4 linked regions of the Saccharomyces cerevisiae S288C genome follow. Changing the gene in region 3 together with the main gene of any one other region gives a genetic interaction. Each region holds a gene or a part of one and is shown on either strand. Other genes may lie near its edges. The genes, in order: CHM7, TCP1, APQ12 and GET4.

Evidence for each region.
Region 1: mutations in APQ12 (region 3) and CHM7 impair growth when combined (synthetic growth defect), as found in Saccharomyces cerevisiae (6 studies listed by BioGRID, with this or other methods).
Region 2: mutations in APQ12 (region 3) and TCP1 together harm fitness more than expected from each alone (negative genetic interaction), as found in Saccharomyces cerevisiae (3 studies listed by BioGRID, with this or other methods).
Region 4: mutations in APQ12 (region 3) and GET4 together harm fitness more than expected from each alone (negative genetic interaction), as found in Saccharomyces cerevisiae (3 studies listed by BioGRID).

Annotation. Positions count from the first base shown.
Region 1 is NC_001142.9:344,178-348,881, reverse strand, and holds CHM7 (phosphatidic acid-binding protein CHM7), read right to left. Parts: upstream 2,910-4,704; coding exon 1,557-2,909; downstream 1-1,556. Other genes in the region: UBX6 (Ubx6p), read left to right, coding at 245-1,435; ATP-dependent RNA helicase MTR4, read right to left, coding at 3,139-4,704.
Region 2 is NC_001136.10:885,106-889,893, reverse strand, and holds TCP1 (chaperonin-containing T-complex alpha subunit TCP1), read right to left. Parts: upstream 2,663-4,788; coding exon 983-2,662; downstream 1-982. Other genes in the region: UPC2 (Upc2p), read right to left, coding at 1-143; GCD6 (translation initiation factor eIF2B catalytic subunit epsilon), read right to left, coding at 3,029-4,788. UniProt on the Saccharomyces cerevisiae protein: Molecular chaperone; assists the folding of proteins upon ATP hydrolysis. Known to play a role, in vitro, in the folding of actin and tubulin. In yeast may play a role in mitotic spindle formation.
Region 3 is NC_001141.2:275,590-279,226, reverse strand, and holds APQ12 (Apq12p), read right to left. Parts: upstream 1,505-3,637; coding exon 1,088-1,504; downstream 1-1,087. Other genes in the region: TED1 (Ted1p), read right to left, coding at 1-801; GVP36 (Gvp36p), read right to left, coding at 1,722-2,702; protein kinase PKP1, read left to right, coding at 2,935-3,637. UniProt on the Saccharomyces cerevisiae protein: Involved in the regulation of lipid homeostasis in the endoplasmic reticulum, thereby impacting nuclear pore complex biogenesis and localization, and nucleocytoplasmic mRNA transport.
Region 4 is NC_001147.6:642,186-646,194, forward strand, and holds GET4 (protein GET4), read right to left. Parts: upstream 2,148-4,009; coding exon 1,209-2,147; downstream 1-1,208. Other genes in the region: polyphosphatase DDP1, read left to right, coding at 556-1,122; dynamin-like GTPase SEY1, read left to right, coding at 2,381-4,009. UniProt on the Saccharomyces cerevisiae protein: May play a role in insertion of tail-anchored proteins into the endoplasmic reticulum membrane.

The sequences.
Region 1 (4,704 bases), on a different chromosome or scaffold from region 3:
CATCTTGCACATGCTATTCTTTTCGGAGTTAACGAAGCCAGGAGGAACCTTAATGGATTTACCTCTAGCGCGTCAACCCTAGAAGAGGGACTTTTTCCACATGAATAGTCAACTTTTAAGATTCGTTAGTAGTTGTATAGGGACATATATATGCACATATATATAATTATATACTTATACACTTGCTTACAGGGGACATTTTTGACCCTCAAAGGAAGTGAATTACAGGTATTGAATAACAGAAATGTACGAGATGTCAGGTATAGACAGCCTCTTTCATGATCGAGTTGTTCATGATTACTCTCATACTAGTGAGCAGGTTATCGTCGTTTACATTAGTTCAGCAGCCGGGGACAATTCTTGGCTTCATCAGTGGTTCAAACCAGGAAATCTTAGTGACGAGGAGCGCGAAAACATACTGTGGGTAAGGTTAGTAAATGGTACTAAAGAGTGCTTGCTTTTCAAGAGCATTTTCCCCTCCTCATCGGCGCCAAGCATTAACATATTACAGAACGGTCTACTCGAATGTTCTATCCAAGGTAATAGCCTTTCTCGTGAGCAGGATCCTTGGGAAACCTTTATCAATGGGTTACAATCAGTCTTTAAGGGTCAAGTAACAAAGAGGAAGTTATTTTCCAAGAGCAATGAAGAATATCAAAGAGTCAAAAGAATGATTCAGAACGACAAGTTGGAGAGGAAGTATGTTTTTCAAAATACTAATGACCCGCAAAGAAAGCCACAGAAGTGGAAGCAGTTGACAGTTACTGATAATGTTAGTTACAAGAGTCAAAAGGGGTTTCTCGCCCAGAACTACTGTACTCTACAATTGAAACTGCCCAATGGTTACACAATCTCTAATACTTTCCCTCCTCAAACAAAATTACACAAAGTAAGGATGTGGTTAGACTATAATTGCTACGATGATGGAACACCTTACCTTTTCCACAGAAATATACCAAGAGTGACTCTTACGCGAAATGACGAACTCAAAAGTTTGCAAGAGTTGGATCTGTTGCCCAGATCGACTCTCATCTTAGAACCGCTGGAAGCCAATAACAAAACATTCGACTACATGGAACAATCTTCTCTTCTACACAAGGTTTACTCAGGTTTGACATCTTTTTGGGCGAAAGAACCGGAAGTAGATGCTTCCTCCTCCCGTCTTGGTTACCAGAGGTTGGGCACAAATGTGTCAAACAGCGCCAACTACTCTTTACAAAAATTATCTAGCTTAGACATGGTGTCGGACGGGGGAGGAGGAGGTGGTGGTGATTCAATGACTCCTTCAGCATATACTACCCCAAGGATGTATCCTTCTAATGGTACTTCTCAATTGCGACAAAACGTGTCTGAACTAAACTTGTCTTCCAATAATTCTGCATCTAATACCAAAGTTCGTACATTAGGTTACTCTAATAATAACGGCAACAATTAAATGTGCTTTTGTTTATTTCCTATTTGGTTATTCACACATATTTTCTTTCTTCCGTCTATTAAAATATTCATATTTATTTTTTATTTATACATATATATTTATTTATTAGTCACTCAGTTCGTCAACGTGGTTGTTCTTCCATCATGATTTTTCTTATCTCATTATCGTGGTTTTCATTATCTTGCACAGGTCCTTCATTTGTATTTATCTTCAGATTATTCAATCTCTTTAATAGATCCTCGCTACTGCTTTCTTTTGGCTCGTGCAAATCCTGGTTCTTATTTTCTTCCTTATTATTATTCTTTTCATCAAGTTCTAATTGTTCTAATTCTCTTTCAATTTCTTCTTCTGCTTCTTCGTCTTGACCTTTATTATAATGAGCTAATAAATCATTGACCTCTTCGGTACGGTCATGACCCTCTTTAATCTCATCTAGTAAGTCTTCTACTTTTTCGGTAGAACCAATATATCCATTAATTGACTTAATTACTTCGTTGGATTCACTTAAAGTTTGAATTAAAACCGCATTAGTAGCACTGGTGTCTATTTGAGTTCTTACTTGAGCGAGGTTATTTTGAAACTTTAGTAACCTAGAAAGATGTTTTTCAGATAGTAATCTCGCCTGTTTATATTCAATCCTTATTCTCTTCGGCAGCTCATTAAACTCTGGTCCTCTCAGTTTAATGTTAGATTCATTAATTTCTTTTCTTAGCCTTGTAATTTGTTTGTTGATGTTTATAATACCCACTTTAACACTAGCAATTCGAAGGTCATTTTCTGTGATGCCTTTGGAGAACCTGCTAGTAATGTCTTCTACTTCAGCGGCAATGACTTTGATAACATTGTCTTTTGAAACTATTATGTGCTTATAATTCTCTATAAAGTGCAGGAACACGTTTTTCGTTTCTTCATCATAGGTTGAAAAGAACGACTGCAAACTTTCTGTGGTCACAAATTCATTCCTTGTGAATACTAAATCTGTAATAGATGAAGCCTCCATAAAAACACTTCTTTTGAGTAATTCATGAAACCTTTGATACTCTTTTTCCAAATTTGCTTTGATAATAAATTTGTCTTCTCTCAAGTAGAAATTTGTTTCATCCTTCCGGCTTTTATACATGTTTGTAGACTCCTTCCAACTTCTAACCCACTTCCAAAATCCTTTTCTACTGTTGTCAGTGTACATTCCACCAAGATTGAATAATTCCATAGGTATCAAATTTCCTTCATTAACAAGAACGTCAATTGCTATATCAATGCTTTTCGGTACGCCATAAACTTCATGAGTTAATTCTTGCAAAGTCCTTGTCCCTATAGTAAATATGATTCTGTTGGAGTTGCTGATGTATTGTTGCAAGAAGAAATCCCTCCATGTACTGATGTTTGCTTCGTACCCATCGGGATTTAAATCTTTCAATGGCCTAAAATCTCTATATAAAGATGGTAGTCTGGATTCTGGTAAATCTACTTTCATTCAGATACAGTGAGATACTATTTGGCTGGCTTTGGTGGTGTTTTGCCAGATATAGTTTAAGAATTTAAAACTCCTCTTATTGTCTCTACTAACGCTGCACTTCATTGAGTTGTATGGGTGTATCAATAGTGTGCTTGCCCAAACAAAAATGTTATTATATAATAAATGTTGATGAAATCTATTTGTTTATTATATATACCAATAAAAATACATAATTGTGTGTGATTAACTATAAATACAAAGAACCAGCAGATACGATATCTCTATGAATTAATTTCAAGACAGCTTCCATCTTCTCCTTAAGTGAAGAGTTACCAATGGTATTGGCGACGTCTACCAGCTCCTTCACCAATTCCTCTAATCTCTTGAACATTCTGATCAACGAACCTTCGTAAACGTCGGTCATTTTACAGATTTGCGTAAAAGTAGCTCCTCTACACCATTCGTAAACAACTTCCATTAGTTCATGTCTGAAGCTTTCAACGTAGTCCTTTTCTACAACTTCAATTTTAGAATCCTTCATTATCTTAGCGATCTTTGCTGCAATTTCTCTCATAGCCTTCAAAGGTTCGGCAAGCTCTGGTTTCAATCTAGGCGCTTCTTTACAGCGTTCTTGGAATGCAAAGCATGATAATAATGCTGCTGCTTGTTCCGGTTTCAACTCATTGAAATTACCATTGAAGATCAATTCTGTTAGTAACAGTTCATCACCACTAGATATTTCACATGCAACTCTACCTTTCAGTTCAATAATGTCATTAGGAGTACAAAATCCTAAACGGCGCAAAACTCTTTTACGGCGACGAAGATCGTCCAGTTGGATTACGGCTTGTGATTCTGAAATTTTGCGTTTCAATTGTTTCATATCTTCATGTAAATCGTGTTTTCTACTATATTTACCATATAGTTCTTCTAGTCTCATGGAATTGGTTAAGGGATTGGAGGATAACTTTGTGTTTAAAACGTCAATCTTCTTCATTAGCTTTAAAAAGTCCTCATCTTCGATCTTCATGTTTTTAACAGGATCCAGCACGGGAATACCATCCGGGAACCTCCGATTAACCTCCCTTAAAGACTTCCCAACAGTTTCTTTTTGACCGCTGGCTCTAATATCTTTGGGCATATATAGTCTCAAATTACCAATCGACTTGATTGAATCCAAAGTTATGGGAATAACAGCACATATGCTTTTTTCACCTTCTTCCGCTGGGCGAATCCCTTCTGGTAAGGTAGGGTTGAAAGGTTTCAACAAGTTGACTGGAGAGTCTATATACATGGTATTGACGACCACATTGACAATATAGGATTCATGGTCTGTATAGACAGCACTTGGGTTGCGTTTGTTAATTCTTTTAGCAAAATCGACAACAGCACCCCAGCCATAGTTATCCTTACCATTGACAGAGATTTCAACTAATCTGCCTGGTTGTAGGAAACTTAAGGCGTTTGCCGGATGGGTGACAACTTGACGAACATCTTCACGGTAACCTTTGATAGCCTGCTCAATCTCATGGTATTCTTTAACATTTTCTTCATCTTCGACTTCGATGCCATCAAAGTCTTTTTTCAGTTCAGCAAGTTTCTTTTCCATAACTGGTACTGAAATAACGTTTTGAAATTGGAAGAAAGAATGCTCCAACATAAACTCCGGAGAGATACCTTCAACTCTCATTAAGTTCAAAATCATATTATATCCTAAGTGAAAAGCCGAGTCTAGCCTATCTGCTTGGCCCTTAACCATTCCTTTAGCAACTTGAGGTTCCATTTTTTCATCAATCATCATAATAACAATACC
Region 2 (4,788 bases), on a different chromosome or scaffold from region 3:
TTTGATTTGTTATGGAATTTACGTTTACCGGTTGAAGTCGTACTCACCTTTTTGCCGTCCACTTCAATTAGCTCGATGACTTTTTCTCTTCTTCTGGGTTTTGTCACCGCTTTCTTGTGATTCTGTATACCGACTTCGCTCATACTGCTGAACTGTAAATATTTGTACTTAACTTTTTTTGATTCACTATTTCTGGAAAGCTCAATTTTGTTTTAGTGTTGGATAAATGAGAAAAGATAGTTCCTACAACTTCAAAAAGTTAATGTATGTAAAAAATCGCTGTTTAGAGGAACAGTCAGCACTATCGCACCCTGAAAGCAATATCAATCTTTGACAAAAGAAGTGTCTACTTTCTATGCCGCGACTTTCCAAGTAACTTGTATTTGCTGATCCTGCCAGGGCGGCGCATATATAGATTTCGACAAGCACATTCACTGAAGACAATAGAATAATATTCGTTGGGCGAAAATTTGACGCGATCCCGCTAAGGTGCGCTCGTTTAGAGAAAAAAATAGCTTGGAAAAAACCTTATTTAGCTGCCACATTTAGACAGAATAACACAGCCACTATGGGAGATATTCACCCTGGGGATCATGTTTAGAAACAGGCTTAGCAGTAAGCGCAATTGAATTCATGGAATACACTCCGCATTCTTTTTTATTGCCGCCTTACTAAAATGTAACGCTAGCGTTAAGCTTTTTTCCTTTAACAGGGTTCCTGCTCGTTTACGAACAAACACAATAGTTTGTAGGGACCCGCTTCTGCATTTGGACAAGAAAAACAACTCAACGAAGTCCTAATAGGTACGCGTTATTACGTATTAGTCCACCTCGCACGTGAAAAGCTGGGAAGCGCTTATCAACTGCCCAGAGTTAGCGATCAAATTCAAAAATAGAACTAGCTGAAAAAAATATAATTAAATTTTATATAGGTTTATTAGTTTACATGCAGATACAGAATCTCGTTCGGATTACGCAAAGAATCAATGATCGTGCGGATCTTCTTTGGGTGGTTCTGGATCCACTGTAATCATTGTATCAATTCTTAGAATTGCTACACAAGCCTCCAATGCTGATTTCAAGGATTTGACTTTGCTTATGGTTGGCTCAAGAACACCAGCGTGAATCTCGTCCACAATTTTACCTCTAATCAAATCTAGGCCGTAATTTCTGTAGCTTCTCCTCTTAACGTCCTCTGGCTTGGCCATTTGACTAGCGGCATGGTAGGACCTTAATTTTGCAACTAATTCACTAGAATCCTTGGCAGCGTTAACAGCTAAAGTTTTTGGAATGATTAATAATGCAGCTGCAAACTCAGCAATAGCTAACTGTTCACGAGAACCAACTGTGGTGGCAAAATTGTCCAAATAGATATTCAATGCGGCTTCAACGCAACCTCCACCGGGGACAACATTTCCACTTTCAAGCGTTCTTTTGACAACAGAAAGAGAATCGTGCAAAGAACGTTCCATCTCATCTAAAGAATAATCGTTGGCACCTCTTAAAATGATCGAAGAAGATGAATGTTTAGAAGTACCCTTAATTAAGATACACTCATCATCAGAAAATTTGGCTTGAACTACTTCATCACAAAGACCTAAATAACTGCTTTCGAAAGTTTCCTCACCTTCTAAGTTAGACATAGAACTAACCAAAGTGGCGCCTGTAGCGCGTGCAATTCTTCTCAAATCTTCCTTCTTACAGCGTCTTACACCCATTATCTTAGCTTCAACGAACTCCTTTAAGCATAAATCATCAATACCTTTGGTGGTTAACACAACTTGAGCACCAGCATCAATGATCTTCTTCACTCTTTCCAAAACAATACCAGCTTCACGTTTACGGATTTGCTCCAATTGTTCCGGATCATCAATGTTGATTTGAACACCCATTGCCATACGAGCTTTCTGCAAGTTCAAATCCAAACATGCGATTTTCACATTGCCACCGGCGATACGTTTAGGCATTGCTTGAGAAGCAACTGTACAATTCAAAGCATAACCTGGCACCAACAGTGATTCAGTGGCAGATTTACCATGAGCTTTCAACACATTGACAGCCTTTACGGGATACTTGATTTCTCCTTTGGAATTTTGCGTCTTAACAGCCAAAAGAGCATCTACAACCATATTGCTGAAAAAATCAGAGTCAGCACCAATGATCTTAGAGGACATACTAGTCTTGGCTATATTAATTAACGTCTCTTTCCCTAAAGTGTCAACACTTGTGGAAAGAACTTCATTTATAAAACGAATAGCCTCTCTTAATGCAACCCTGAAACCAGTTATGATGGTAGTTGGATGAATCTTATTTTTGACTAATTCATTAGCTCTTTTCAACAACTCAGAAGCAATAATAACAACACTAGTAGTACCGTCACCAATTTCTCTGTCCTGTTGTTGAGCCAATTCTACTAAAATTTTTCCAGCTGGATGTTGAACATCTAACAAAGACAAAATAGTGGCACCATCGTTGGTGACGGTAAAATCACCAATGTCATCAACAAGCATTTTGTCCAGTCCAACGGGGCCTAAAGATGACTTGACGACGTTAGCCACAGCCATAGTAGCCAAAACATTCTGATTACGAATATCATCACCACTTATTTTTTCACCTCCTAGGAAAAGGGTATCTGAGCGCGAGTTATTGAATAATTGGGACATCGCTAAGTTATTACAAATATAAAAGTCTTCTGTCTATTGTTATTGTCCCTTTCTTGTACTCTCTCAGTGGCCTCTCTTTTGCTTAAGTTATTTACTCTTCATGTGATACCACCGCATTTCAATTTTTTTTTTTTTCAGTTCTTTGCCACTTAGGACAAGGTCCCTCGGCAAGTGAAAAAAAAAAATCTGAGATTATTATTTCAGTAGTACTACTGAGGATAAAAACTAATATGATAAAAAATATATATATATTTGCTTTTTGCTTCTGTAACATGTAAATTACTAAATCTATATAGCGCTCACCTTTTTCTCATATTAAAGCCTTTTTATGGTAATACATGATTATGCAGGGTACTGCGTGGACTTTTATTCCTCTTCTGAGGAAGATTCTTCGTCAGCATTCTGTAACCACTCAACCCACTTTACAGTTAATTTCTTGACTTCATCATAGCGAGGGTCAGTAGAAACATTATCCCACCATTTATAAATGACATCCTCCTCAATTATGTCATTATCGTATAGAGAAACCAATGCACTAAATAGAATCAAATCCGGTTTGTCAAAACTCTGTTCTACAATTTTTTCCATTATGATGTTCATCAAATCAATATACTCTTCTTCATCAAAGGCTTGTCTCTTGAACAACAGTCCCCACTGATTAAAAACCTTCACCACAGCGTCCTTGGGACCTAATGTTTGAGTTGCAATAAAGTGGTAAACTCTTCTCAATAATGCAGTTATTGTTGCTATTCTCACCTCATGATATGTCACGTTCATACTCATTCTCAAGGTGTTCAATTCTAATAATGCTGTGTCAAGATCATGATTGTTTTCCATAGCACGCTCCACGGTGGCAATACCTTCTTTCTCAAAATCTTCGTCCTCAAATTCAGAATCAATTTCTTCTCTATCCGTGTATATACTATTGACAGACATCGTTCTTCTTTTCTTTGTCTTTTTAGTGGCGGAAGAAATTGAATCGTCACTTAAGTATAACTCATCTAATTGGTTACTCAAAGTGTTTATTTCTTTGCAGGCTTCTGTAGAACTATCTTCATCGTCAGACACCTCGCTTTCGTAAATATAACCAACACCCTTATCTCCAACAATAGAAACGGCTAGTGTCTGATCATCAAGGTCTTGGTCAAACTGCTCATTGCTTTCATTATCATACATTCTTGAGCCGGCATTTTTTAATGGACTGGCAGATATTTTTGTGTTTCTATCTAAATCCATATTATCATCAATTTTAACGTTGAAACCAATTATACAGCCATCATTTAGGCGTACATTACTCCCTAACGTGGCATTAGAGGCAATTAATGAATGGTCAATTATACTGTTATTTCCGATGATACAGTCATCCCAAATGAAACTGTTCTTGATTCTAATATTTTCACCGATTTGGCAGTTCCTTCCAATCACGGAATTCTCAATTTTCGTACCCTCTCCGATTTTTGTTCCTGATCCAATTGCAGTGCACTTACCAATTTTACAGGATTGGGCCAAAACAACGTCTTTTTCCTTGTATATATGTCTTGATTCATAAGAATACGTTTGATCGTCCTGTATGTTAGAGTCTAAGACCAAGGGATAACACCATCTACCTAAAAAGTCTTGAGAAATGGTGTCGTAAGTTTGCCAACTTTCAACTCTTACAGCATATTCGTCCGTCAAATAGGCATATATATGCTTTCCCAATATATCGCTTGAAATGACACCTTTAACAAAGTCTGTCCTTAATGATTGGTAGTCAAAATTTTCTTGAAATATCAAAGGTACATGAGATGTACAAATGTCAATTCTACAATCGATGAGGTCATTCCTTATGACAAATTCATCGACATTATCCAACAATTCTGGGTCAATCTGAATGGAAGTCTTCTCTCTAGAGCTTGGTAATGGTAAATCTTGGTAATAAATACACCTACTGGTGGATTTGTCTAAGACAAATGCGGCAGGCTCAATAGTTCTTGTTTTTGGATAGGTACTCGCTTTGCTCAAACACATTGTCGAGATGTGATCTTTATCTTGCAAATGCATTTTTTTGTGAAATTCTAGCATTTTGCTGAAATCGATGTTAGTCAATACATCACCACTGACTAAAATAAAATCTCCAGTAATGA
Region 3 (3,637 bases):
AGTGTTGGTTTCGTATTCAATCCAATAGTTGTCCTTACCGAAAAGGTCGTGGAACCTTGTCATATGTTGATAAGTCGCGTCGCCTGAGTAACCTACATCATGATTACCTGTGATGTTGATGATTAAAAAGTCTTCCAAGTCTGGATTCCATGAGTGGATATTTTCATAACCAAACCCAAAAGAAAGTTCTTGATTATCAGCCTCGTTTTCCTTGACATTGTCTAAAATCTCATTAAAACGGTCTCCCCATTCAGGCCAATTCGCCTTATATTGACCTTTCTCATCGAGGTTCTGTTGTTTGATATTTTCAATAGAAGTTGGGTCTCTTTTGAAAATTCTGCTAATATACCTTTTCGTTCTATTATGGAATTCGGAATCACCGATCCATTGACTGGAGAAAAGATCACCCATAACAGTCACCACCTGAGGCTTCAGTCTCTGCTGCATCATATCATAGATGTGACCAAGATAGTAGTCATTACCGTATGTATCTAATCGGGACACATATGGCGTCTTTGGCCAGATGCCTTTAATCTGAGGATCACCGAAGGCCAAAATATGAATATCCTCATCGTTACCTGCAGAGGCATGGCTACCATGCCATTGCTCTCGAACATCACTGAAGTAATTCTTCACTTTGTCCACAAAAGTCAAATCTTTCTGTAGTGGTGCGTTCTTGTTAGAGCAGTTCCATGAACACTGTTCTGGATGGAAAGATGGATAAGTATAGATGTAAATATTAGCGACGATAGTGAGGAAGGTGGCAAAATATGCAAACTTCTTGACCGCACACCTGAGCATCTTGGGATTCTTGGTACAATGCTGCTGCTGTTGTTTTCAGTTCTTCAATCGCGACCGGATAAATCGCTTGTAATAACTTAGTTTGCAATTTTTCTTAAAACTTCAGAAATCAAGTCACAATTGTAATGAATAATTTGGAAAACACAAGTCACCAAAAATAGCTCAATATTTGATAGTGACTAGGGGAGGAATCTAGCAAAAAAAACGTTCTTTATCTATATGAATATTTAGAAATTAAGATATGTAATTACTTTAAGATGTTCCGAGTAAGCAGAGGCGTTTCGCTCTATTTAAGCAACTGTTCCATTTTCATCTGCGCCAAATGATAAACAGTGTTGATTTCTCTTTCCAGGGCATTAATAAACAGAGTATAAATTTTAAATGCGTAGTATCTATTTGACATGACGAAATTGTAGAAATTCAACAGGTCCACAGTCAAAAACTGCTGCGAACCACGCATATAAATACCGATACATGTTACTACCAACGTCAAATACAGGAATCTTTTGACCAGAGTAATGAAGTTCATCAACAACTTGTAAAAGACATAAAATGTGAAGAAAATAAACAATAGTTGGAAAACTAACGGGTGTGATTGGCTGAACTTAGTAATAGTAGGAATCAACCATTGGATGACGTCAATGGCAGACTTTAGGCATTGTGTTACTACGGATAGTTCGTATTGCGGTTGAGTAGCGTCCATTTTTGGGTTGCTCACTTTGCCCTTTGGTGACTGTTACGAAATTTTTTTCAGTAGCTTTTTCTCTTCCAGTAATTATATTTTCTCTACAAAAAATATACTCACTACAAAAGCCAGCAAATAAATGATAATATTCGTACGACACTAGAGAATATGATATTGTATTAAGTAAATATATATATATAGAGAAGGAGAGAGAAAGACAAGAACAGGGCGGCTATTAAGCGTCGTCTTCGTCATTCATAGAGATAGCTGTCTGTGGCTTTTCTTCTTCTGCAACCTCAGGCTTTGCTTCCGGCTCTTCCGCAAATGAGTTGGATAGGAACTCTTTCATTAGGCCAGCCGAGGTTTCAAAATACTCAGCTTGAGCCTTGGCCAATTCCTTCAAATCTTCACTGAAGTTAGCGTGAGAAATAACCTCCTGCAAGCACACAGTAGCGTCTTCAGTGACTTGAGCAAACTGGTCTTCCAAAGTCTCCATTTGGACTCTCAAGGAAGCTTCCTTTTCTGGCTTCTTGTTGTTTGCCAAGTTAGTTCTTGCCACGTCATATCTTAATCTCATGGAATGGACATCCTTGCGGCACTTATCGGCCTTACCGATCTCAAAAGAGAGCCTTTCCCTCAAATTTTTATTGAATTTGGTTTGAATCAAGGTATCTTGTTGAATTCTAGCTTGAGCAATCTTAGCCTGCACATCACTGAATTGCAAGAGTGCCGAAGCCAAGGGTTGTTCCTCGGTGGGGAACATCTTGTTCAAACATTCACTGGAGTTCAAAGCCACTTTACTGAGGGCGTAGTTCAACGTCTTGGGTTCTTTGATGGGGCCTGGAGCAACTAAGATGTTTTGTGCCTCAGACGCAGATGTAGCATGAGTCAACTCTGTCAACTTGGAAGCCACGCTTCTTGAAAACTCGTTGACGGATTCGTTGATGTATTTAGGGTAATCGTACGATCCGTTTTCGTAGATAGCAGTTACACCCAAGAAGTGGTTGTAAATCAGTTTGATGGTGTCAACCTTATCTTCCAGCTCTGTGTACTCTCTTGGCAATTGGGAGATGTCCGTCACCTGGCCCAAACGTTCCTGGACCATTCTTTGGGTGGATTGCGCCAAACTGGGCAATTCCTGGGTTTTTTCGGAAACACTTGTGGATATTTCCTGTAATTTCTTGCTCAAAGAGCTGGCGAAGGCATTAAACGACATTGATGACTATGATTTGTTGCTTATTCCACTCCTCTGCCTACAAATCATATAGGTTATAGGTGAAGAAGGTTGCAATTTTCTTGTTTTTGACATCCCGATTAATCCACCGCTCGCTTCTCACGGTAATAAGGGAAAATGTCTGCCAGTATGAAGCAAACAACATTAAACTGAGAACATTGGTGAGTCAAGACCATAACTGGAAGACGTGGTATCAAGACGCCTTCACGGTAGTATGTGGAAGATTATGCGTTCATGGAAATGTGGGGGAATGCGCTGGGCACATCGCCAGCGACCCTCACACGAGCTGCTGTCGCAACTGTCGTTCGACCAGCATTACAAGATTAGGTCGAACATTGAGCTGCTGATACAGGACTACGCTAGTAAACCAATTGCGCCCCTAAACTACGAGTATTTCCTGCAATACAGGCCGCCGCTGACCAAGAAGGAGGAGTACATGCTGACGATCAAGACAATCAACCTGTTGCTTTCATTGACGTGTAAACGGCTTAATGCCATTCAGAGGCTACCGTATAATGCGGTAATCAACCCTCATATTGAGAGAACCAACTCTTTGTATTTGAAAAGCTTGCAAACGTTGCTATCAATCGCATACCCGTACGAGTTGCACAATCCTCCCAAGATACAGGCCAAGTTCACAGAACTGCTGGACGACCACGAGGACGCCATTGTGGTATTGGCAAAAGGTCTTCAGGAAATCCAATCGTGTTACCCAAAGTTTCAAATTTCGCAGTTCTTGAACTTCCACCTGAAGGAGAGAATCACGATGAAGCTGCTTGTGACGCACTATTTGTCGTTGATGGCACAGAACAAAGGTGACACGAACAAAAGGATGATTGGAATCTTGCACCGGGACCTCCCCATAGCACAATTGATCAAGCACGTTTCTGATTATGTCAATGATATATGCTTTGTGA
Region 4 (4,009 bases), on a different chromosome or scaffold from region 3:
TTTCCCCGTATATCAGCCTCTACCCCATTAGTAATATGGCATGGAACCTTTTAACGTTTTTCTAATTTCCGCGGATTTAACTCCGTTCACTATGATTTCTGCCAGTATGATACTGGCAGAAATCTACATTCGCTATATATAAAGAGGATATACTGGTAATAACTACAGCTTCCATGTGAGCTTAAAACGATCATGCTCATCTTTCTTCATCTTGATAGAGATTGGTAATGCTGTCATACTCCCGTGATTATAAAGCAGAATGAGAAATATTGAGACAACCGTAAAAACAGCTACTGCCCAGAATTTAAACCTTCAAACTTCATCATCAGAAAGGTATACTGTGTAAATAATGCGTAAATAGTAGGAGCATGGTGTTCTCTTGTCGTTGAAAGAACATCTGCGGCGAGCACGTGCGGCTTAATTCTCAAACGTCTCGCGGAGGTAAATAGTGTAAAGGGAAGCCTCAACTTTAAGACATGAAATCACACTGAAATAACGCCTGAAAGGTCAGGAACAGTGAGTACGTAGGAGTATAAGAGCGTGGGGAAACACAAAATGGGCAAAACCGCGGATAATCATGGTCCAGTACGTTCTGAGACAGCACGTGAAGGAAGAGAAAACCAGGTTTACTCACCCGTTACAGGTGCAAGATTAGTTGCTGGCTGCATATGTTTAACACCCGACAAGAAGCAAGTTCTCATGATTACTTCTTCTGCACACAAGAAAAGATGGATTGTCCCCAAAGGTGGCGTTGAGAAAGACGAGCCTAATTACGAGACGACTGCCCAACGAGAAACTTGGGAGGAAGCTGGTTGCATAGGTAAAATTGTCGCCAATTTGGGTACAGTTGAAGACATGAGACCCCCTAAGGACTGGAACAAAGACATTAAGCAATTCGAGAACTCTCGAAAAGATTCAGAAGTAGCAAAGCACCCGCCAAGAACCGAATTTCATTTTTATGAATTAGAGATTGAAAATCTCCTTGATAAATTTCCGGAATGTCACAAAAGACATAGAAAGCTATACTCTTATACAGAAGCTAAACAAAACTTGATAGACGCCAAGAGGCCTGAATTGTTGGAGGCCCTTAATAGGTCTGCTATCATTAAAGACGACAAATAGCTAGCACATACATATATATGTATATACGTCATGGTCGTCAAGCCACCGCAAACATATTTATCTATTCCTTCGCAAATATGCTCTTTTCACTTCGATCCGCCCAGGAATCCCGACATCATGTCTTGTAGGAAATTCGTTTGTTTAGGAGCAACAATATTGAAATATTCCTGGCCCAAAAATTCTAACTCACTTTTGTAAGCTTGAGAAAAATCTAAATAATGGTTCTTTAAATTCAAGAAATAGCTCTTATCCTTAGTCTGACAGGTAATTAGCAACAATTGCAAAAAATTTAGGTCGGAATAATCTTCAAAAAAAACTATTTCATAACCATTTTTATCAATTTTCTCGTACTTGGGGTGAAATTTCTCAATAAATCTTTCCAAAAAAATGTCTTTTGATTCATGTGCAAATGATATGTTAGAGATGAATAAATAGTTGAAAACCAATCTGCTGAAGAACTCAGCCACCGTGCTATCTTCGATATCATCAACTTGGCATAACCAGTCCCATAGTAAATCGACATATTTGATCATTGAATCATGTGTACCTAACATAAAATATCTCTCAGCTTCATAAACGAAATCTCCCTCTAATAGTTTGCTACCAATGGTGTTGTGCAAGTAAGGATCTCCAAATTTGTATTCACTAAATTTGATAGACCAATTGTTCATACCAGTAATAACGTCCTTTAAATTGGGCTCGCTAGGATCCAATTCGGCTATTAATCTAACCAATCTAGCAACTGAGATGTCATCAACTTTAACTTCCGCTAAATCATAAACTTCTAAAAGATAGAAGATCAAATCCGTGCCTGAACCGCCCTGCTTCGCCTTTAAAAATGAAAGGGCCCCTTGACTAATTAGTTCTATGGCATGCTCGTATGATTTACTTCTAACATATCTATTAGCAATAGTTCTCAACGTTTGATGCGCTTCGTAATAATCTCCAGCTTTGATCTTATTTTCGAATCTTTGTAAGGTTTTAGCGAGTTTCGCTTGTACAGCATTAGATTCAGCAGGAACCATAGCTTGTTATTATTATTTATGTCCCTTTATGATGTTTACTTGGTTGTTTTACCGCACATGTTATTATTTCATTTTTTTGACTTTCCTTTCACTTTTTTTCCCATTGTTTGTTACCTTAACGAAGAGCGACAAAACGAACAAAATACTGAAAGGTGTATTTTGATGGTAAATAATTATTGACTTATTTCAACAAACGGGCTACTAACTCACTCGACGGTTGACATACTTTAGTCATGGCTGATAGACCTGCTATTCAGTTGATAGATGAAGAGAAGGAATTTCATCAAAGTGCATTACAATATTTTCAACAATGTATTGGAAATCGTGATGTTGGTCTAGATTACCATGTCATCTCAGTTTTCGGTTCTCAATCGAGTGGTAAATCGACTTTACTTAACGTCTTGTTTAACACCAACTTTGATACCATGGATGCTCAGGTGAAAAGGCAGCAGACTACTAAAGGCATTTGGTTGGCTCACACTAAACAGGTTAATACAACTATTGAAATCGATAATGATCGTCCAGATATTTTTGTGCTAGATGTTGAGGGCTCCGATGGTTCAGAAAGAGGTGAAGACCAAGATTTTGAGAGAAAAGCCGCTTTATTTGCCATTGCAGTATCTGAAGTTCTTATAGTTAATATGTGGGAGCAGCAAATTGGGCTATATCAAGGTAATAATATGGCTTTATTAAAAACAGTTTTTGAGGTCAACCTTTCCCTATTTGGCAAGAATGATAATGACCACAAGGTGCTGTTACTTTTTGTAATTAGAGATCATGTAGGTGTGACTCCACTCTCGAGTTTGAGTGATTCCGTTACGAGAGAATTGGAAAAAATATGGACAGAGTTAAGTAAACCTGCTGGTTGTGAGGGTTCTAGCCTGTATGATTATTTCGATTTAAAGTTTGTCGGGCTAGCTCATAAGTTGTTGCAAGAAGACAAATTTACCCAGGATGTCAAGAAATTAGGTGATTCGTTTGTGATGAAAGGTACGGAAAACTATTATTTCAAACCTCAATATCACCATAGGTTGCCATTAGATGGTTGGACTATGTACGCAGAAAATTGTTGGGATCAAATTGAACGTAACAAGGATTTAGATCTTCCAACTCAGCAAATTCTGGTTGCTAGATTTAAAACTGAAGAAATATCTAATGAAGCTCTAGAAGAGTTCATTTCAAAATATGATGAATCGATTGCTCCTTTAAAGGGTAACTTGGGATCTTTAACATCTCAGCTAGTGAAGCTAAAAGAAGAATGTCTGACAAAATATGATGAACAAGCATCGCGCTATGCAAGAAACGTTTATATGGAGAAACGAGAAGCTTTAAATACAAAGCTGAATTCACATATTTCAGGTACAATTAATGAGTTCTTGGAATCATTAATGGAAAAGTTATGGGACGATTTAAAATTGGAGGTGTCTTCTAGAGACAAAGCTACTACCTCTTTTGTAGAAAGTGTGGCGGCAGGTAAGAGTAAGATTGAGAAAGAATTTAACGAATCAATGGAGACCTTCAAAAAGTTAGGGCTACTAATATCAAACGAAGAGATTACCTGCAAATTTTCCGACGATATTGAAGAAAGAATCAAGCAACTACGTGATGCTGAATTGAAAGCAAAAATCGGTCGTATTAAAAAAAATCTGGTTCCCGAATTAAAGGATCATGTGATTCATTTACTATCACATCCATCCAAAAAGGTTTGGGATGATATAATGAACGATTTTGAATCTACTATCAAAGACAATATATCTGCGTATCAAGTGGAAAAAGATAAATATGATTTTAAAATTGGACTTTCAGAGAGCGAAAACGCGAAGATTTACAAAAATATTAGAATATTGGCGTGGAGAACCTTG